Arabidopsis thaliana: one gene and its partners. The protein of the gene in region 3 interacts with the protein of the main gene of each other region in a pairwise test. Each region holds a gene or a part of one and is shown on either strand. Other genes may lie near its edges.

Evidence for each region. The genes of interacting proteins can lie anywhere in the genome.
Region 1: the proteins of IND (region 3) and AT2G32840 interact in a two-hybrid assay, tested with the Arabidopsis thaliana proteins (2 studies listed by BioGRID).
Region 2: the proteins of IND (region 3) and AT5G27690 interact in binary tests that used the Arabidopsis thaliana proteins (3 or more experiments, as listed by UniProt).

What each region holds. Positions count from the first base shown.
Region 1 is NC_003071.7:13,930,997-13,939,377, reverse strand, and holds AT2G32840 (proline-rich family protein), read left to right. Parts: upstream 1-4,428; 5' UTR 4,429-4,541; coding exon 4,542-5,096; intron 5,097-5,339; coding exon 5,340-5,392; intron 5,393-5,482; coding exon 5,483-5,522; intron 5,523-5,619; coding exon 5,620-5,697; intron 5,698-5,800; coding exon 5,801-5,914; coding exon of another isoform or gene 5,915-5,950; exon of another isoform or gene 5,951-6,007; coding exon 6,008-6,087; intron 6,088-6,183; coding exon 6,184-6,277; 3' UTR 6,278-6,539; downstream 6,540-8,381. Other genes in the region: AT2G32850 (Protein kinase superfamily protein), read left to right, coding at 1,401-1,867, 1,958-2,123, 2,209-2,259, 2,349-2,531, 2,611-2,704, 2,783-3,447, 3,544-3,930; RALFL16 (RALF-like 16), read left to right, coding at 7,925-8,212.
Region 2 is NC_003076.8:9,799,329-9,807,108, forward strand, and holds AT5G27690 (Heavy metal transport/detoxification superfamily protein), read left to right. Parts: upstream 1-4,318; 5' UTR 4,319-4,467; coding exon 4,468-4,557; intron 4,558-4,656; coding exon 4,657-4,732; intron 4,733-4,815; coding exon 4,816-5,708; 3' UTR 5,709-5,938; downstream 5,939-7,780. UniProt on the Arabidopsis thaliana protein: Heavy-metal-binding protein.
Region 3 is NC_003075.7:39,828-47,491, reverse strand, and holds IND (basic helix-loop-helix (bHLH) DNA-binding superfamily protein), read left to right. Parts: upstream 1-4,294; coding exon 4,295-4,891; 3' UTR 4,892-5,827; downstream 5,828-7,664. Other genes in the region: GAE3 (UDP-D-glucuronate 4-epimerase 3), read left to right, coding at 7,498-7,664. UniProt on the Arabidopsis thaliana protein: Transcription regulator required for seed dispersal. Involved in the differentiation of all three cell types required for fruit dehiscence. Acts as the key regulator in a network including SHP and ALC that controls specification of the valve margin.

The DNA.
Region 1 (8,381 bases), on a different chromosome or scaffold from region 3:
ATCTTGTCTAGGGTTTATTTTGTTTTGGTTTTGGTGAAGTGGTGTTGTAGATCTGTGAAAGTTTCGACACCGGTCCCTTTGGTGATGATCAATAATGTGCTCAAGCCATCGATAATCTAAAGTTACAATAAGTTCAAGCTTTTTTTTTGGAAGAAAAACCTTGTGTTATAGCTTTGAGTAAACCGGTAAATGTCCCTCAAGTCTCCTTCCGAGAACCGAATTCTCTAATCATTTTTCAGTGCTTTTTATTAAGTTCAAGAACCCACATGTCGCGATTTGATTGTAGCCAATTCTGATAAGAACATGCATTCTAGAATTAGAGCAAATCAACAAGTGTAAAATTGTAAAATCATCTCTATATTTGCAACAGAAATTACCTAAATGTATCTCATAACGTTTAAAATACAAACTTTATGATAAAATGTACAAATGCGTCAACAAATGTGAAATAATCAAATAAAAATAGGTATTGGGAGGGTCACGGTCCACGTTCAGGTTCACGTCTTAATTTTACGGCTTATTATACAAAACCATAACCAAAATGTTCTTATCTCACTTTCCTTTCTATTCCCGGATTTGCCGCTTTCTTCTTCTTCATCATCTCTCTCTCAAAATCACCCCTTTTAAAGTTGTTTCCTTTATACGCAAAAGTGAACGCAGATCTTAATGCAGCTACTGTGATTTCGATTCTTAGGGTAAATATATTCTTTTACTCATTGGATTGGCACTCCTCAGCATCTGGGTTTTTGCAAAGGTATAATTTTTATTGTCTCTTTCGATTGGATTTGATTGATCTGCCGATTCTCTGTTTCTCCCGAGCTTTGTGGGTTAAGATCTCGATTATCTATCTGGGAATCTTTAGATTTTGTGTTCATCGGAGCTGTTAATCGTTGGACTCGCTAGTGTTCTTCTCTTGTAAAAACTTTGTGGAGGAGAATCTGATTGTAGGTATAGTGTGAAGTGAGTTTGAGCTGAATTCTGTAGCTTTACATGGAAGTTTTTGGTTGATGATAACGTCTTGTACTTTGATACCATATCTGACCATAGTCGCCAGATTCTTAATCGGATCTAGTTCGAGTTATAAGACTCTTCAATAGTCTCTCCTTAGGTTCTTATGTTTTTATTGTGTGTTGATCTGGTTTCTCTGATCAAGGATTCAGCTTTTAGCTCCCTTTATTGGTCATATAAGAATAGATCTGTTTGATTGGTTTCTTAACTGAGCAATTGTGTAGCAGATTAGGTGCTTATCATTATCTTTGTTTTTGTTCTGTGTATTTGAATATCTCATTAGGATCTTGGCATCTCCTATTGATCATGATATCTTGTTCTCCGAAGTTTGTTTGGTTTTGTAACAGATTTTATGTTTATGCAGCATTCTTATTACTTCCACTGATTCAAACATGTGGAAGTTTAAACCTTTTGCTCAAAAAGAACCTGCGGGTCTCGAAGGTCGATTTCTCGAGATAGGAAATCTGAAAGTTCAAGTTAGAAATGTCATTGCGGAAGGAGGTTTCTCCAGTGTTTACTTAGCTCAAGATGTAAATCACGCGTCAAAGCAATATGCTTTGAAGCACATGATATGCAATGACGAGGAGTCACTTGAACTCGTAATGAAAGAGATCTCGGTTCTGAAATCCCTCAAGGGACATCCAAATGTTGTCACGCTCTACGCACATGGTATCTTGGATATGGGGAGGAATAAAAAAGAAGCTCTTTTGGCTATGGATTTTTGTGGTAAATCTCTTGTGGATGTGCTTGAGAATAGAGGTGCTGGTTACTTTGAAGAGAAACAAGCTCTTACGATTTTTAGAGATGTGTGTAATGCTGTCTTTGCAATGCATTGTCAATCCCCACGCATTGCTCACAGGTATACATGTTGTATTATTAGATTTCGTTTCGTTTTTACATTAGCAAGCGATGTGAATTGATACTGTATTGGTGTTGCTAATCGTGACAGAGACTTGAAGGCTGAGAATCTTCTATTGAGCTCAGATGGACAATGGAAATTGTGTGATTTTGGAAGCGTTTCGACAAATCACAAGATTTTTGAAAGAGCAGAAGAGATGGGAATTGAAGAAGATAATATTAGAAAATACACAACACCAACATATAGAGCTCCTGAGGTTTGACTGGATATGCACCTATGCAGATTATAAGAGTTTTAAAAGTGGTGAAAAAATGTTTGATTTATGTCTTTATTGGCAATAGATGTGGGATCTCTTTCGAAGGGAGATGATAAGCGAGAAGGTCGATATATGGGTATGTGATGACACTTTTTCAATCTCTCCAGATTGCTAATCTATTTGGTTGAAACTTGAAAGTAAAGGTTTGTTTTTAAAAAAAAATAGGCTCTTGGATGTCTCTTGTTTCGGATATGCTATTTCAAGAATGCATTTGATGGAGAATCAAAGCTGCAAATCTTAAACGGGAATTATCGTATTCCAGAATCGCCTAAATACAGTGTATTTATTACGGATCTCATCAAAGAAATGCTCCAAGCTTCACCCGATGAACGACCAGATATTACACAGGTTAAAAGTCAATTTTTACTCATTGTTTCTTCTCAGTTGAGGAAATGTAAAATGTCTCTAACAACATGTCCATCTACAGATTTGGTTTCGTGTCAATGAGCAGCTTCCTGCTAATTTACAGAAATCATTACCGGATCGACCACCTGAAATGCAATCTACTGGAGTCCATGATGGTATAGTGAATAAAACCTATTTTGGATAGCTTCTCAAAGAAAGATGTGATTTCTTTTGATCCTTATGAATTTTGACAGGCTCATCAAAATCAGCAACTAAACCTTCTCCAGCACCTCGTAGAAGTCCGCCACCGCCGCCACCATCTTCTGGAGAATCAGATAGTGGAGGACCGCTCGGTGCCTTTTGGGCGACTCAGCATGCTAAAACCTCAGTTGTATCAGAAGATAACAAAAACATGCCTAAATTTGATGAACCAAACAGTAACACATCTAAATCTGAAAGAGTTCGTGTGGATAGTCATCAACCCAAAAAACCAAGTCCTGTGAGAGGAGAGGCTCGTGGTATTCAAAGAAATAAAGATCTTGAAACTACGATTTCTCAGAAGAATACAACTCCTGCTGCAGCCAATAACATGACAAGAGTGTCCAAGGATGATGCCTTCAACTCGTTTGTTGCTGACTTTGATACCACAAAGTTCGATAATGGTAATAAACCTGGCAAAGAAGAGGCATTGGAAGCTGAGATACAGAGGTTAAAAGACGAGTTGAAGCAAACAAAATCAGAGAAGGCAGAAATAACTGCTAAGTTTGAAAAGCTTTCTGCTATCTGCAGATCGCAAAGGCAAGAGTTGCAGGATCTCAAACAAACACTTGCCTCTAAAAGTGCCTCACCGTCACCGAGCAGAGACTCTTCACAAAATCAACCCTCTCCAGGGATGCATTCCATGTCATCAACTCCATCGGTATTATTCTTGGTTCTTGTTCATCTAAGCTTAGACACCCATACAAAAGTCTTCATCAATGTATATCTTAGAATTCTAATGTTCTTGATGAAACAGAGAGATAAGATGGAAGGAACAATGTGGGAACTTCAACAGGACAGATCTAACTGGTCAACTGGCAGCTCTGATACAAATTCATGGCAACCTTTTAGTGATGAAGCGAAACCCGTGATGGAATCTGCATCAAAGGGTAACAATAATACGATTAATCAGTCTGTGAGAACCAGAAGTAAACCAGCTTCTGCTGCAGGTACTCAAGGTTTTGAGCCATGGGGTTTCGAGACAGAATCCTTTAGAGCCGCTGCAACGTCTGCAGCTGCTACTTCTGCATCTGGAACACAAAGATCTATGGGCTCTGGAAACAGCACTTCACAGAGATATGGGAACTCAAAGATGAGAGAAAACCAGAAAACAGCTCAACCTGCTGGATGGGCCGGCTTCTAAAACTCACTCAGATGCGCATTGCTATTTCTTCCTCATGCAACAACAACAGCTTCATGTTGCTGCCATTACAGAATCTTGAATCTTTTTGTAGATGATGATCATCCCCTGTTTTTGTGCTGCTGCTAAATATACCCCACCCATATCCATTATGTTTTATGTAGAGTCTTAAACTTTACACATTCTCTGAGCTGTGGCCAGATATCTCAGCTTATGGATTATTATTGGAAAAATAAATAATTCAAGATTCAGACAGCTTACACTTCTTTCTGTGAAACTTAGAACTAAGGTCACATTTAATACCGAACCCAACCATACGATGGCTGCATTATGGTTTAAATGTTACCCAAAAAGATTTCAGCCGTAACTAAATCAGCATTTTAAAATCCTGGATTAATTTTCGTTAATGTAAATCTCACATTGAACCGGACCCGAGTAGAAAAAAGTAAAAAACCGAACCAAAACATTAAATACCGAGCCCTAGTTTAGTTAGTTAGAAGGAACTTAAAAAGAGTTCGTGTCCTGAAAATCAAAGAAAAAGCTACCAAATTTTGAATCGTTGTCTTTAACTTGATTTTCCCCAAATTTCTCAGAAATCAAAATCCGCCGGAACAATGTCTACTCCCGATCCCAATCCCAATCCAAATCCAAATCCTTCCGTCTCTGTAGCAGTATCGACTCCAATCGTCACCGCATCTGAATCTCCGGTGACACAACCTAACACAGTCATAACGCCGTCGTCTCAACCTCAACCTCAAACACCAGCTTCGTCGTACAGAGCCATAGCTCCGCTTCATCGTCATCATCCTCATCAAAATATCTACACTAACCCTTTACCGATTAGGCGTTCGAATTCCGTTACTAATTCGCCTCATCAGCCTCCTCACCCAGACCCGTCTAGTCTGATATACCCGTTTGGTTCTTCGGGTCGAGGGTTTCCGACCCGACCCGTTAGACAGAATTCCAATTCCGTCGCTGATCCAGTTGGTAGTCCTAGTCCAGGTGGGTATACTCCTCGAGGGCCAGTTTACGGATACCACCATGGCCAATTCGTGTCGAATTTGGATCCAATGAATCAGTTCATGAGAGCTGCACATCCTCAGAATCAACAATCTCCTCAACTTGGTTCCGGTCATATGAAAGGAGTTCCTCATTTTTTGCAACCTCGGGTTAGTTATCGTTTTCGTTACCAAAACAAGTTTGAATCTTTTTGTTTAATTCCATAGTTTTGTCAAGTGTTTTTTTTGTAGCTTGTGCTAGTTAGTGAAAATGTGTATGTTGAAGTGAAGATTATTTGCTTTGGTGATTGTAGAATTCGAATAGCAATCTCTAATGAATTAGGAAAGGTTGAAACTTCTGTTAGATATTTGTGTGAGGTTACATTTTGTAAATTTTGGATTTTTGATTGTTAGGCTACTCCTTCTCCAACTTCAATTCTAGACAACAGTGGGCATAAGAAGGCCAGGTACTTTATCTTCTTTGCCATTATGCTTTGTTAATTAGAAACTACTCTAGAAACTTAATAATGTCTCTGTTTCGTTTCCATGGTGTTTAGGAGCCGGGATGATGCTCTGGTCCTCGTTAGAAAAAGAAAGGTATAGTTTTATCCTTGTTTTTTGGTTTTGCATTATCGTTCGAAACCGCTTGCTTCGCCATTTGAGGAATTTTAAATACTTTTTATTTGTTCTGCAGGTTAGAATAACCGAGGGAGCTTCTTTATACTCGCTGTGTCGATCTTGGTTGAGAAATGGTGCTCATGAGGGAATTAAGGTTCGTATCCATTTCTTATTTCTGCTTTGTAGTATAATGCAACACTTGGATTTTTGTATATCTATTCTTGATATCTTTGGAAGATTAATGACGTTGTTTACAGCCGCAGCGAATTGATATGATGACATGTTTGCCAAAGCCTTTACCTGTGGACAAGACGGAGACAAGTTTGCCAAAAGATTTAGTTGAAGAAGCAATTTGCGAAGAAGACAAAGAGGTTTCGTGTTTCTCTGATTTCTTTCTAAAATGGTAATTGTGAAGGGTAAAGCTAAGTTTGATTATTTACTTCAACTCTCTTGATGAGCTTCAGGACGAGGAATCTGTGAAACATTTGTCAGAATCTGATCTTTTGAAAAGACATATAGACCGAGCTAAGAAGGTCCGCGCTCGGTGAGTCCCACAACATATCATCAAAGCTAAGTTCGATGGTTGAAGATTGAATATTTTTTGTTTTGAACAAAATTGTGTGGTTTGTTTTGTTTGCAGATTGAGAGAAGAACGGTTAAAGAGAATCGCGAGGTACAAGGCAAGATTGGCTCTTCTTCTGCCACCCTTTGGAGAGCAATGCAGGAACGAGTAATGATTTTAAAGTTAGGGACTTCGGTGTGAATATACTTGCAGTTGATTTAGAAATGACATAAATTATCTTAGAGCCAGAGTTATGTCTTATGTCTGTGTGTAATATAAGAAAGATTTTCTCTGAATTTTCGTCATACACTCGTATTAGATGATTCTAAACTAATCAACAATCTCAAGATTTTCTGAGATGGTTAACTTATATAGCTCTTATCTTTTTTTTTTTTCAAGAACACCTAGTAGTTCTTGGACAAGTAAAATTTTCAATATAGTATTCGGTCATGGTGGGTCGACCATGTTTTGAACGCTGGATCGATCATCATGTGGTCGGACGATCATAATTTCAGAGATTGATCGACCATCCTTGGAAGCACGAACACATTTAGTCATGTGTTTGAATTTTCTTTTATCTTATTTGTTTCCAACTCCCAAATGATACGAAATGTCACAAAAACTCTTAAAATCACTACATAATCTAAGACTTCCTAAGACACAAATACTCCTATGGACATTAAAACAAGATTTTATCAACAGTGAAGCCATATTATCATCACTGTAGTTCTGAAAATGCCATATTGCCCAAAGTCTTTTCTAGCTAGTATGCCATAGTGGCTAACATCTTCTTCTTTCTTTTCATCTCTCTAAATAAGCAAAAAATTGAGAGGCTTTCTCTTCCTCTTCTATTCCTCTCCAACATAGTATTCATTCTCTCCTCATCTCATCTCTTGTTTCTTTTCAGCCGGAGCTTGTGCCGATGGTTCTACGTCGATCTCACTCTCTCAACGACGAAGAAAACATCCCCCAAAGCCTCCTTCTATGTCCAAATGTAAAGCTTCTCCGCAGCACACAACCTTCCACCGCTGTACCACCACCGTTCCTACTTTTCTGACATGGAACTGAAGCTTTATCAAGTTTTATGTTAAGTAATGTTAATCGGAAGTCCTTTAGGCAAGATGTCTAGCTAAATGTTATAGAAATTCTAGGGTGACAATTTTTGTTTTCAGGCAGACAATGGTAACTAGTAACTGGACAAATTAATTTGAAGTATACAAATTATTATGGACAATATTTTTCTAATATTTGTAGACAATTTTTATTACATATAAGATCAATTACTCAAATTTTGTTTTAAAATATATTTTTTCGAACGAAATATGATTTTAGGATGAAACAAGAGGCCATATAGTACGACGAACATGACCCATCCACAAGCTTAATTTGTTCTTGTTTTCCAACTCACTCTTTTCTAATTTGAAGATTAATGCTTACTGACCTTTAAGATTAAGATGTTGTAGTTTTGTTTTTCAAGTTTTCACCGTTTAAAATACACAAATACCAAAAGTCTTTAGTTACACTTTGTTATGTAACAAAAAACATTGCTGGCATAGTGGCATATTGACAAACCTTCCAAAATTTGATTTATCTGTTTGAAATATCACAGTTAAAAAAACAAACCCAAAAAAAAGAGATGTTTATGACAAATGAACTCCATGAATATGTATTATTCCCTGGCATATGTAACAACATAACTTTATTAACCAACTCTTGTCTCATTATAAATTTCTGAAACAATGTATACAATAATTACTCACTAATTCTTGTAGCAAATTAAACCCAAAAATAGTTAAGAAGAAAATTAACAAAAAAAAATATGGTTGCATACGAGAAGAGTCCTATTGTTTTTCTATTTGCTACAATGATGCTTGTAATGTTTTTGTTTTGTGGAAGTGGAGAAGCAAGAACATTAGGGTACGGATCTATTAAAGGAGACCGAATTCCGGCATGTGGCTATAAAAACCCCAATTCATGTGTCAAACAACCAGTTAACCATTACCATAGAGGTTGTGAAAAAATTACCAGGTGTGCTCGTGATGCTGCTCGTTATACTGAATCCTTCAATGTCGATGACGATGAAAGTCCCATTATTAATCTCCATTGAAATTTAATCTTTAATTTACTTTCGTTGATACTACAAAGATTCATGTATTTATACGTCGTGTAGCTTGAATATATTCATATACCTAATTATCAGTCTATTAAAATGTGAAAGATTATATTTTATTAATTTGTGTTTTTATGTAAAGTCACTAATTGTTGTCTTAAATTTT
Region 2 (7,780 bases), on a different chromosome or scaffold from region 3:
AGTTTTTTTTTTCTTTTTGGTTTTTATAAGCTACATAAATAAAAACTCTCAATCTAATGTTATTTTTTGAAAAACCAAAAAGTGTTTGAGAAGAGAAAATAAAATTCTCTAAAAGATGATAGAATTCATAATAATATCAGGTTGGACATTTAATTGATAAAATATTGATACTCTATATTTGGAGTATCACTATTCAATACTTTAAATTTGAAGTTACATCTTTTTTATTTGCATTTAAGTCCCTAAAATTATATATTTCATAAATAATCTTACAAATTATTTGTTTATCATTATAGTCCTTAAATTATTATATATTCAAAGCATTTCACATATATCTTATAAATTTAATTGTTACATATAAAATTTAATATATAGACCTTTCAAATAAATTCAAAATATTAATATTTAAAATATAACATAGAATTAAAAACAAATATTACAAACAAACTATTATATTAAAAATTTAATACAAATTCAAGCAACACAATGATAATAAAATTACATGGAAATAAAATTATATGAACACAAAAATAATACACAAATTAAAATATTACAACAATACTAATATTCAGGTAAATTTATGTATTTTTTATTTTTATTTATATGTATTTTATTTATAAACGTATTGTTTTGTTAATTAAGATTATGTGTAATATTTTAATGTATGTTTTAGAGTTATTTATAAAAGTTAGATTGTTTTAAAATTATTATGAATAATATAAGGACTATAATGCAAAATACACATTTTAAAACCTTCATATTTGAAGTATACTCTTGGAGAAGAAACTACTCATACTTTATATTTGAAATTTACATACTCTATATACGAAGTATCTCTTGGAGATGCTTTCAATTAGTATATCTCTAAAAGTTATTTACTTGTCATGTAGCAATAGTGATTATCTGTGAAAATGATTTACATGTAAAATGATATGTTTTCAGGTATCCAATAAAATTATATATTTAACCTCGTATAATTGTAAAATTTAAATCTGTTTATAAATCTTAGGGGGTGAACCCAAGTATTTTTCATAAAATTATGTCTCTCATACATACAATTTTAAATTTCTACTTCACATTTATTTTGTTGAAAATTATATTTATTTAATAAACTTAAACAAAATCAATTCATATTATGTTCGTACTTTTTTATTTCAAATTACAAATTTAACTTGTTCTTTGATCAAAGAAACCATCATATGATTTTCCAGCTATTTTAAATTACAAATTTAGTTTGTTTTTTGTACCGACTCATAGAAATAATTTTAGATATTGGTTTCTTAATCACAGAACAAGTTATATTTGTAAAGTAAAATAAAAACTACACAAGATTTTTTTTTTAAGATATGGAAGTTTTGAAGTTCACAAGGAAGAGAAAAGTTAAAACCTTTCTTACAAAAAAAATCATGGTATTTAAACCTATTTTTAACATGATATATGAATGATAAATATATAGATGCATGCATTATGCATAACATAACTATGCAAAACATGAGCAAAACATATGCATATGAAAAAACTTTTATATGCAAATCACATCACCTAAAACATGTTTAGCATTGTGAACATCATGGAATTCATTCATTATGTAGAGAAATAAAGAAAAAAGCTTATTAGAGATTATACATATTTTAAGGATATCAACTAGTCTATTAGAACATAATATTACTGCCATGAATGGATGGAAGTAAGGCATATTCACTCCAAATTGCTGCATTTCCCTATGTCGCTAGAATCAACCATATGGAAAACTTTTCCACACTTTTCCACATTTGTTTTAACAAGCGTGTCAAATGAGATTCTCAACTAAAACAAAGACTGATTATTCAAACTCACCACAAAGGTAAAGAGATGATGTGCTTAGATTGTGATTGTAACGAGGCAGCACAAAATTCACACGAACAAGGTTCTCATGGCCAATGAATGATTGAACAAAAGTTAATGTTGTGAAGGCGATTGCCGTCATAACCAAAACCTTAACTACATACACAACAACAATTATAAAAGGATCTTTTGAGCTATTGGTCATACTCATATTCTTTGATTAAAGAAACCGTTATATAATTTTCCAGCTGTTTTAAATTACAAATTTAGTTTGTTTTTTGTTCCGACTCATAGAAATAATTTTAGTTATTGGTTTCTTAATCACAGAACAAGTTAAACTTGTAAATTAAAATAAAAACTACACAAGATTTCTTTAAAAAAAAAAAAAGATATGGAAGTTTTGAAGTTCACAAGGAAGAAAGAAGGTAAATCTTTTTTACAAAAAAAAACATGGTTTAAAGTTTAAAATATGTTGGAATGTATTCATGGTTTCACATAGTCTAAATTAAAATGATACAATATAGAGGAATTGTTAGAAATGCTTCTTTTATATTTCTCTTTTTAAAAATACTTTTTTCTAGCTATTCTTTTAGTTTATATTTTTCGATGACCAAAGGTTATAAATTTTACAAGTTTTTCTAAAAAAAATAGAAGTGTAAAAGTTTTGCTAAGTTTTGACGGTCTTAAGTGATTTTAGTTTTGGGCTTTTGTATATAAAAGAGTAAAATATAAAAATCAAAAATCAATATTATACAATTACAATTTAATTACATTAGCTAACTAAACTGTATAAACATTCATTATCTATACAATAGTATCTCTTTTTTTAAATTATATATATATATATATATATATTGCTTCAATATAAGTATCTGAAACTTTAATACACATTATTACATAATATCATTATGTACTTTTGTTATCATCAATATGTTTTCAACTATACACCTCCTAAATTTAAATCACAACCTAGAGATGTTGTGGTGGGTAAAAAAGCCCAGCCCGACCTGAACCCGAAATAAACCCGCCCACCAAAAACCCAACTTTAGAAAACTCAGATGGGTTTTTTATTTAGTGGGTAAACCCCGAAAAAACCCGATTGTTCCGAAATATATTTTGCTTATAAATATATTTTAAATTATATTTATTTTCTGTATTACATATATATTTGATGGGAAAAAGGTTGAAATGTTAAATTGCGTTTTTTGGCGGAAAAATGTTAAATTGTGTTTTTGGCGGGAAAAATGTCAAATCCTTTTCTTGGCCGGAAATGTTGAATGTCATTTTTGGCCGAAAAATATTGAATATCTTTTTTGGTGTGAAAATGTTAAATTCCGTTTTTGATCGGAAAATGTGAAATCTTCTTGGCGGGAAATTGTTGAATGTCTTTTTTGGCGGGAAAATGTTAAATTGCGTTTTTGGCGGGAAAATATGAAATCATTTTTGGCGGAAAATGTTGAATCGCGTTTTGGCGGGAAAATGTTGAATTGCGTTTTTGACGGGAAAATGTTGAATATCGTTTTTGGCGCGAAAATGTTGAATGTCTTTTTTGGCGGGAAAATGTTGAATGTTTTTTTTGGCGGTAAACTGTTAAATCGCGGTTTAGGGGAAAAAATGTGAAATCTTTTTTTACAAGAAAATGTTGATTCACTTGAAAAAGGACTTAAAAAAACCCGTGGGTACCCATAACCCAATGAGATAAACCCATATGAGTTTTATTTATTTGGATACCCAGTGGGTTTTAACCCATCATTAACATCTCTATCACAGCCTTTTTTTCTTTTTATAAAATATATTGCACTGTGATAATTTTAAAATACGTCTGTTATAAAAGATACAAACACACATACAAATACACTTCATATAAATACTAAAAAAAAAAAAATCCTCAGTGTAGCGAGAGTCCGATCCTAGTTACAATTATTAGACTACTGAAATGCTATGATATTATATTGTTACCAAACTTCGAATATCCACTTTAATAACAGTTATAAAAATTGTATTATCGTAATGTGTTATCAATACTTATATTTTTTATAGTGTAAGAATAGTGTAGGAAAATACTTGTTTATATTGGAAGTCAAAATTAAATAAAAATGACATAAACGATACTATGAGAAGAAATCAAACTGAGTAAAATGGGCATAATCCAACTATTTTGTGAGCCGATACATATGACAATTTTCGATCGCTGAATCATGGTTTGGAAATATGTTTGATTACTACTCTCTCTTTCTCGGTCAAATTAACATCCGTAAGAGAGAGAAAATTATTCAAACCCCTAGGTTTATGGTGTACTTCGAACCTAGCTAGACTGGGTATTTTGACAATTTCAGTGTCCTAAAATATCTTCTAATAGTAAGAAAATGAAAATGATGGCAAAGAAAAATCGAAAATTTCATGTTTTGACAAAAAAGAAAAAAAAAAAAACTCTTTTTAATCCTAACTAAGTAAATATTAATGTTTTGAGAACTGAGCATTTTATAATCTTTTCCAAAAAGGCAACTATTAGAGAATATTATCTGCTGAAGAAGTCCCACAAAAAAAAAAAAGATATAGAAGCCATGACTTCGTTACTATATTACACATGAAAGTTGCATCAATTCCCTCTCCCTCTTCTTCATCTTCCTCTTTCTCTCCATTATGGATTTAGGAACAGAGATAAAATCAGACACAAGACAAGAAGAACAGAGACATGTTTTCGAAGATTACCCTGAACCTCTTAGATACACCGTAAGTATCACTTTTACATAGTAATCAATTTCTTCTTCATATATAACTATCATCTTCTTTTCTCAATACATATATTTCTTCGTCTTCTTTTTATTGTAGACATGGGTTTTGCGAGTTTCTATCCATTGTGAAGGATGCAAGAGAAAAATCAAGAAAATATTGAGCAAAATCGATGGTAATATATAAACTAAATCTAACGTTTTATTCTTTTTCGATATTGATTAACTAATTATGAGTATTTATATGATTTTATTTTAGGTGTATATACAACAAATATCGACGTGAAGCAACAAAAAGTAACGGTGATCGGAAACGTAGAGCCGGAGATTTTAATCAAGAAGATCATGAAAGCCGGTAGACACGCCGAGCTATGGCCAACGTCAATGGAGAACAACATTAACAACGATTGTAACTATCAGAAGAAACCAAAGAAAGATAACGAAGAAACTAGTGGAGATGAAGACGACGACGAAAACAACAACAACAACAACGGCGGAGGTGACGTCGGTGGTGGAGGTGGTGGTGGAGGAGGAAACTTTGATCAGGTTAAACAAGTTGTTACGTTTGTAAACGGTCAACTTCAACCACAAGGAGATGGAGCTCCGAAGAAGAAGAAGAAAAAGAAAAAGAAGAAGAAAAGCTTAGGGAACACGACGGTGGTAATGGAAGGAGGCGGCGGCGGCGGTGGCGGTGGTGGTCCTCCGCAAAACGATGGACCGCCAGAGACAGTGATATACTCAGCTCCACAAGATCATCACATTATACACGGACCACCTCCTCATCTACATCATCATCAGCAGCAGAATCATCCGTATCCAACGGTTCACAGTCCTCCACGTCATCATCCACAACAAATGTACGGGCCGGGTCCGGGACTGCCTCCTCCTTCGTTTTATCATACTCAGCCTCAAACGGCGCCGTCTTATACGGTGAGTTACAACACGGTGCATGGGCCAATTAATAACGGTGGGAATGAGACGGCGTCGTATTACACGGCTCCTCCTTCTCATCCGACGTCATATTATTCTTATGAGTACGTGGACACTGGCTACGAATCTCCACCGCCCGAATTTTATTCGTATAGATCTCAACCGTCGGAATCGTTTGAGTCACTAAGCGAAGGCAATCCAAACTCTTGTTGCGTTATGTGATTTTGGAAGTTTTTTTTTACTGCTTTTAAGAATCAAATTGACATAATTGGCCTTGGAATGGCATCTTGTAAGTGTTATTAGAGGGGTATTTCGTAAACAATCAACAAAGAACGATATTAGTAAGTAATTTAATCCAACATAAAAATTTATGTATTTCGTAATTTAGCTATCTTTTGGTAAATGAAATGCGAAAATGTACTTCTTTAATGGAAAATTCAGCTATTCATGGGCTTATTCTTTCTTTTTCTTATAATGGTGATTTTTATAATTATTTTTTATTTTCGTCTATTAGATTCGTATAATATAAGCGGTTTATATTATACAAATCTAATACGCGATAATAAAAAATAATTATAAAAATCAACATTATAAGAAAAAAAAAAGCATAATGATTAGGAAATATAAATTGTTAACATATATTGATAGATTTAAAATGACATGATTGCAACAACAAAAAAATTGTAGTATGATTTAAGTATACATTATGATCTACGAAATTTGTAATACCTAAGAAAACATACGGTTTTCATATAAACCAATACCCTATACGGAAGTGACGTGGTGAAGTAGTGTACTATTTTCGAATATCATTTTTTGGGTGCAAAATTTAGAATAACATTTGAGGAGAATAATTGGACTTGGAGAGGAATAAATCTTTTTCCGAGAGAAATAAAAAGAGAGATTTTTGGTGAAAGGGAATAAGAATAATTTGAAAAGGAAGATAAATATGAAGAGAAGGCATATTTAGAAAGCATATTTAATGACAAAGAATATGTAAATAGTGTCCACAGGGAATCGAATTGTTAAATTGGTCTTACATGTTTTAATGTTATACAAACTATATTATATATTGTACTTTTTCCCTAATAAACAACTAACGTGTGAAACTAAAACCGTTAATTACCTATATATACACATGATGTAAACATGTCATTGATACTTTAATTCTTGAATGGTTAAAAGAGAACCGACCAAGATTGAGAATCTGATTCTAGTTAGTAAAACCAATCCACGATAACACATATAGATGTGAAAAGAAAAAAGTTTAAAATTATGACATTATGTCATCACTTAAAGTTATCGTGTGATGGCATAAGGCTGGAAAAAATTGTATGACTATGATGGCATAAACACAAACTAGATTACATTATAGATTATGGTATAAATTGTTCGTGTTTCAAAGAATAGTTATCGTTGTTATAATCAATATTCATTTAATCACATGCATTGAATACTTGCACATATATAACGGTCAATTTTTGTAGTTTTTTTTTAAGTTTATCTAACCACATTTAGTTAGTGTCCGTAAACTAAACTATAAGTAAATTTCTAATCCCCAATGTTTTTCAGTAGTGATACTATTTAGTGTCCGTAAACTAAATTGTATATTGTTTGATGCAACATATTAATGTTGGCATGTCTCTTCAGAGATTCTTTTTAGTAGAAGTTTCATGTTTCTTTCGTAGTAAAAGATTGACATTTTTTGACCTAGATTTATTGACTGTTATAATTGTGTTTGACCAAAGTGTGGAAAGACAAACAAAAGATTTGGAGTTGATGTTGATGTTGTATATGTGATGTTAAACATTAGGAGGCTGAGACCAAGCAGGGGAAATGTTAATATTTACTAGCATTAGTTAACGGGAGTTCAGTACCCATTTGCGGGTTAGGATCGAGTTTTCGGATTTAGAGATATAGAAATCGTTTGGGTAATTCTAGATTTTGCGTTTGGATAGGGTTCGGATTCGAATTACTCGAAGTTCCCAAATATCGTTTTTTATAACCAAATATATCCAAACTACTCGAAAGTACAAAAATATCTAAAAACCTTGAATATTTTTATCCAAATTAAATACCCAAAAACATCTTAAATATCCGAAAATCCTAATATTCTGACACTAAGATTATTACAAATATAAATATAAATAATATATGATTACTATGTATTTAAATTGTGAATTGTTCGGTTATCCGTTCGAATCGGGATGGTTCGGATTTTTGAGTTTGGAAGGATTTTGGGTTCGGTTTCAGATCGGATATTATGCCCCACCCCTACTGTTGACCCATATGAG
Region 3 (7,664 bases):
TATAATATTGACGATTATTTTTGTTTTTTTTTATCTTTTTATCGCAAATTTCCATTAAAATATTGATGGGGTTTTTTTTTTTCGTGTTTATCATCGTAATGTTTCGTTAATATTATCGGTTATTTTTTGTTTGTGTTGTTATCACAACTTTTTGTAAAAATATTGATGGTTATTTTTCCTCGGTTGTGTCTCTTCATTGCAACTTTCGGTTATAATATTGATGGTTATTTTTCCTCGGTTGTGTCTCTTCATTGCAACTTTCGGTTATAATATTGATGGTTATTTTTTTTGTTGAGTCTTTTCATCGCAACTTTTCGTTAAAATATTAATTGACACTTTTTTTGTTAGTGTCTTTTTATCGTTATTTTCTGTTATCTTATTGACTGTTATCTATCCGTTGTATTTTTTAGCACAATTTTTTATTAAAATATTAATGGTTACTTTTTGTCGTGACTTTTCATTAATATTGGCGGTTGATTTTCTTCGGTTGTATCTTTTATCGTAAATTTCCGTAAAACTATATACGGTTATTTTTCCGGTTAGTTATATATATACTTTAAATAACTATTAAAAATTATAATATGCATTATTTTGAGTTAGATTTGTTTTAAGGAAATTATTATATAAACAATTTTATAATCTTGTTAGTAGCTTAGTGTATATCAGTTTTCATTTTTGCGTCTACAAAATCATAATCTCCGACGACAAAAATCGAATAGAAAATCATAATTTCTGATGACAAAAATCGAAACAAAAAACAGTTATTTATTCATTATTACGTTAAAGTTAGTAATTTTAATCGACTTATTAGTAATTGTGTCTGTATTTTACGTTTATGTTAGTGATTTTAACCGACTTGTTAGTAAACTTTTTTTCATTTTTCGTTTATGTTAGTGATTTCTACCCGTCCCCTCAAAAAGTACTAACATGCACGTAAAAATGGAAAAAAAATATCACTAACAAGTCGATAAAAATCACTAACATAATATAAAATGAAGACAAAATCACTAACAAGTCCATTAAATCACTAACATGATCGTAAAAATGAAGATCTAATCATTGTTTGTCGCCGAAGATTATGATTTTGGAGAAACAAAAAATGACAACTGATGGCCACTAATGGGATAGGGAATATTTATTTATTTCCAAAAAAAAATCATACTAAAATTTTGGAAAATAGAAGATTTGGTTGTAAATGGTATCTTAATCTGATTGGTTATTAATTTTAATTAGGGGTTAATTCAATTAAAAAATTATCGTTTTGGAAAGTGTGTAATCCAAATCGTTGCGAGCGAGTAAAAATACACGCATGATTCTGTTTGGAAATTTGGAATCCAAATCGTTTGGTTGTTTCGATTTTCTCGCCGAAGATTTTTGCTTTAGAAGTAACAAAATGATAATTAGTGAGCAAAGTTAAATATTATTAACGGAATATATGTTATTTCCAAAAAGAAAAGTCTCATCCTCATTCTTTTGAAAATAGAAGATTTGGGAAATCGTCATAGTAATATATTATTTCTTTGTATCAAATACATATCCATCTACTATCCGGTTGTTGACCCTTAAAGCTTTTGAAGACTACTAGAATAATGCAAATACCATATGTCCATATCCATCCTTTTCTTTTGTTTGAACTGAACATTCTAATTTTGTAAAAGAAAAAACCTTATGTTAATATCACCGTAGGCAAAAAAAATATCTCATCATATTAAATTTTTATTATAAGATTATACATTCTCTCGTTGTAAGAGTTACTCCAATTGCAAGTGTTGTATTAACTAATAAAAAGGACGAAAGTAGGAAGCTTATAATTAATTGATGTTGCATAGTACTGGTATATTGTTGATGAATATAACAAGTATGAACATTAATGCATGAAACGGGGTATTTTGTCTTGAACTCATTAAAGGCAATGTGAAAAGAAGATGTGAGGTCTCATTTTGAAAATTTATCTTCTAGCTTTGTCGATTTTAAATCTATGAAATGAACGCAACATATAGAAATTTCATGTGGACAACGACATTTAGACGGTATCTTAATTAGACCGATTAATTAGTAATATACTTATATATATAATTAGTGGTGATTATAAGTTTACTTATCCACTTGAGAATTTAAACAATGGGCAATACCTTAATGTCGAAAGAAGCCGTCCCCACTTCGTGTAATGAGTTATGGGGGAGAGATCCTGTTAAATCGTCAAATAAAACAACTTAAGAACTAGAAATTGACACCAAAAATCATAAAGAGAACGTTGAAGAAGTCATTTATCGTATCCAGCTCATATTTCCTAGCTAAGATCAAATCAAGGCCGTTGAAAGGGCTTGTAAGAAAATGTCGAAGAAACCGTGGGGTTTAGAAGAAAGACAAGAAATAGAAGAACAATGATGTTAAATTGCCTATTTTGGTGTATAGGAGTTGTCAAAAGAGGAGAGAGAGAAGAAAATTAGGTCAAAATAATGAGCACTAAAAATGGAGACATGTGTTGAGTAACTATTACAAGAGCGACTTATGCTTCCTTATGGCAATGATATCCAAACCAAAGTGCAACGCTCCTTTTTTGCCCTAATTTCGTAAAGTCTCTCTCCTTCTTCGTCCTTAGGAAAAACCCTAGAAATTTAATCCCTTGTTCTTGATCTTGCTTTTTGAGTAACCATGATTTTGACCACACACTATTTCTTCTATCTTTTGTGGTCTATAGGATTTTGCTTTATATGTGTTTCTTGTATTGCTCCGTACGTACGTATACGAATTTAAATGGTTATAACAAGGTTTATATAAACTAGCACAAATGAGTCCATGAAATTTGTTAGCGAAAAAGGTAGAAATATATTGAGTCTTTAAACGGCAATATATATAATTTTGCTGCAAAACTTAGCTTTAATCATGATCTAATGATATTTTCTTTAATTTCCTTTGCCAAATTAATCACATGCACGGATTTTTGGCAAGTTATGTGTCGAATTCTTCCATTCACACAACACTAAACTTAATTAGAACTCTAGGAAATATTTTAAAATGACAACTTTATCGAAAAAAATTTAGTTATGAAAACAATTCCAGAATTAAACATGAGCTATATAATTTAAGATAAAATGAAGTAATATTGATATGTATGTAATAACATATCTGATTGCGGTAAAAAAAAACATATCTGATTAAATTGTTCATGCAGGCCCATGTCACTATGATGTCATCACGTTTTTATTTTCACAATAACTAATATATATTCAAAAAAATAGTTTTGTCAGATTAAATTTTTTTTGGTGGTCAGCTTTCTCCAACCTACTAAACTAGTTTGGAATGTTCTCTTCTTTATTTTTCTTTTTCTTGATTTCTTATGTTTTTTATTTATGGAATTTTAAGACGGATTGTTTAGGTCGTTTCTCTCTTTTCTTGTTTTCTAAAGTTACTTTTGTAAACTCATCTCCTCCCAATTAGACAGTCAATCATATAGTTATCTTTTAATATATGTCTAGTTGATAAAAAAAATGAAAAAATACTGGTGGTAGTTCTACTAATGTTTGTGTAAAAAATCTGATATTATGAATCTAATCAATTTCTTTGATCGTATAATGTGGGTTAAATTTAGTAATTTTTTACATAAATAAGAACTGTAATGTTGATGTATATTGGGGAATCAGTATATTAGCTTGGGTAACTATACTTCTGGAAATACTTGAAGATTTAACTATTTGCAAAATTATAATTTAGTCCCGAAAAATACAGACGACGGGACACGACAACATATAAGCAGGTTTGAATCTTGGAAAATTTTGTATACATAACCTATATAAATACTAATGTTCTGGTTGGGTTCAAAAGCCTTTTCAAAAGTTCCATTTTTTAAATTCAAGGACATTTTACATAGGAAATAAGTTGAGTCATAAAAAATAATGGTTATTTTGTAAGGTTTTTTTTTTGATTAAAACGCACATATTAAGAAGTTAGTTTTTTTTCACTACCAAATATCAATTAATTTAAAACCATGCAACCATTCATAAAACAATACTATTAAAGAATATAAATAATCACAAAATATTAAATACACTTAAAATTTACATATAAATTTACAAAACATCTAATTAATTGAAACAGAAAGGAAAAGGTAAAATATATCATAAAATGAGACATATATCCTATAAAAAAAAAATGAGGCATATGAAGTAAATAATAAGAGACATGCATGTAAGCATTCGGTTAATTAATCGAGTCAAAGATATATATCAGTAAATACATATGTGTATATTTCTGGAAAAAGAATATATATATTGAGAAATAAGAAAAGATGAAAATGGAAAATGGTATGTATAAAAAGAAAGGAGTGTGCGACTCTTGTGTCTCGTCCAAAAGCAGATCCAACCACAGCCCCAAAAGAAGCATGATGGAGCCTCAGCCTCACCATCTCCTCATGGATTGGAACAAAGCTAATGATCTTCTCACACAAGAACACGCAGCTTTTCTCAATGATCCTCACCATCTCATGTTAGATCCACCTCCCGAAACCCTAATTCACTTGGACGAAGACGAAGAGTACGATGAAGACATGGATGCGATGAAGGAGATGCAGTACATGATCGCCGTCATGCAGCCCGTAGACATCGACCCTGCCACGGTCCCTAAGCCGAACCGCCGTAACGTAAGGATAAGCGACGATCCTCAGACGGTGGTTGCTCGTCGGCGTCGGGAAAGGATCAGCGAGAAGATCCGAATTCTCAAGAGGATCGTGCCTGGTGGTGCGAAGATGGACACAGCTTCCATGCTCGACGAAGCCATACGTTACACCAAGTTCTTGAAACGGCAGGTGAGGATTCTTCAGCCTCACTCTCAGATTGGAGCTCCTATGGCTAACCCCTCTTACCTTTGTTATTACCACAACTCCCAACCCTGATGAACTACACAGAAGCTCGCTAGCTAGACATTTGGTGTCATCCTCTCAACCTTTTTCATGTTGATATATTATATATAGATGCATAAAGATTCGATCCAAGATTGTATGGGTGTTTTAATATTATTATTCTAAGATATATGATGTACAATTGTGTACCAAGTTTCTTTATCTTGATATCATATGCATAAATAATTGGTGAATAAAAAGAAGATATTGATTGTAAACAAAAAAAAGAAGATATTGATTGTTAATTAGGGTTTGATCATTCTGTATGAAAGCTTTGGCCTGCAAATTAATTTTCGATATATATATATATATATGGAGAATATATATCAAATACTTTTTTAATTTGACTATAATTTGTATCAATTATCTGAATCTGATGAGTGTAGGTTATATATGGATTAGCAAAAAAGAAAACAACCATTATTACGCACCTACATTAAAAATCATCCACCAAAGAAGAAACCATCCTCAAGAGGGTTCCCATATTGGAGAATAATGAAAAATTTAAGAAGAAAAGGGTCGAGATTTCGACGGACAAGCATTCTGATTATTACAAACATATTTTAGAGAAATTTAGAAAGAAAATTAAACTAAAAATTAAAAAGAAGCAAACTGAGATAACTCTCTGTCTCAATGGAACGCCGGCCAGAAGTGATCATCGTGATTTTGGTTACCATCTTGATAAGGTCAATCGAGGAGTGTATCCGTTTCAAACACCACACGTCCACTATATTTCGCCAAGTTAAATTGAAAGGAAGATGAACAATCAAGAGATGTGGTAGTTATTTTGAATTAAGCATATCCAAAAAGACCCTAGGCGAAGCTGAGAGATCGCAAGTTCGAGTGACACTTGGAACGAAACTAATATTACATGATGTGGTTTCGGGCCTAAAGGAATTACGGGCTTCGGCCCAGAACCTCCTGATATTCAAAAAAAAAAAAAAAAAAGATGTTTATAATAATGATCTTTGAAATTAAACCTCTACATTTATCATAATATTCCTAAATAGTACGTAAATAAAAAACATGCAACCCATGCATATCCAGTCTTAAGTTTATACATATAGATAAATCTCAAACCATACAAATACCATTGTTCTTGTGATTTTTTACTTCCATTTCCTTTTTCCTCCAACGGTGTCATATAAAGCTAACAAATAACTCGTGATTAAACGGACATTTCCAATATGGGCTTTTGGGCCCATAGTGATATGGGTCTCCTTCCGATATCTTTGACTGCGCGTGCCTCCAAAGTTGCTGTAGAGAACAGAAAGAGGCCTTCGATCCTGGCTTTGTCCAGACAAAAGCTGCCTCATCTACCTGGAACTTCGGTCGAGGTAGTGGTGAAGGGGGGATATGTAATCTCAGACAACTCCACAGGTGACAAAACTAGACGTAATCCTAATGGGGACAGGGTCGGAGCTAGAGATAGCTGCAAAGGCTGGAGAGAAGCTAAGAGAAGAAAGAAAAGCAGTGAGAGTAGTGTCATTGGTGAGTTGGGAGCTGTTTGATGAACAAAGAGAAGAATACAAAGAAAGTGTGTTACCTTGAGAGGTTTCAGCAAGACTGAGCATTGAAGCAGGGTCGACCTTTGGGTGGGAGAAGATGGTTGGCTCCAAAAGAAAAGCCATCGGTGTAGACAGTTTGGAGCAAGTGCACCAGCCAATGTGCTCTACAGGAAATTTGGACTCACCGTGGATACGGTTATTGCAGCCGCTAAAGACTTTTGTTAAGCTAAGCTCTCTTTTACACATCATAAAGACATTTTCTACGTTGTTCAAGTGTGCCTTTCCACATACATTTACCCGGACTCACTCACTAGTCACTATAAATCAATATCGTTATGTTTTTATCTTACAATAAGTGAATTTGAAGAATAAAATAGAGCTTTGATGGATATTACTATTATATATGCGGTCTAGTAGATGCGTGTTGTTATTATATTATTCCTTGAAGATTACTCTTTGCTTTTTTGTACCCCATGGATAAATGTGCCTTGGTATTAAGTTGCAAATTTGATTTAATTAATCCCTAAACATGTTACTAGTTAGAGTTTGCACGTGACGATCTTGGGCAGCACCTAAACATGTATTTGTGTGCGTAATTTTGTAATAAGTAAGTGCATCGAGTTTGATGAATCAGTATTTGAATGATAATTCGATGAAAGTACATTTGTTGCCATAAGAACCCTAAAGTAAGATCCATAAGGATGATGAAAGCTTCATTAATAATAAAAGTAAAGTTAATCTACCTATAATAACTAAATTAATCAAGAGTGAAACTAAATCTGTAGAAAATTAAATGTAAGAGATAGAGACTAGAGTGATTAATTAAGCTTTGACTATCCCTTAAATCCTCATAATCTCTTCTTGCTCTTTGACCATCTTCTTCTTCTCTGTGTGTGTGCATTTTCGAGAGAAAAAGAAATAAAGAAGGCCCAAAAATAGAGAAACAAAAATCTTTTCAATTTGATGATCTTCCCTTATTATTCGGAGAGCCTATAAACGCTCTCACCAAACAAACCAAAACCAAAACCAATCCAAGAAAAAAAAGAAACCTCAAAGAAGAAGAAGAAGAAGATTCTCTCTGTCGAGGTAAATATGAAGCAAATGTCGCATCTTGATGATATTCCTTCGACGCCTGGCAAGTTCAAGCCCTACTTCCACCGTACGCGGTGGCAATCCTCCGTCGCCAAGCTCGCCTTTTGGTCTCTCGTCTTCGTTGGTTTGATCTTCATCTTCTTCTACCGATCTCCCGTTTCCTCCAA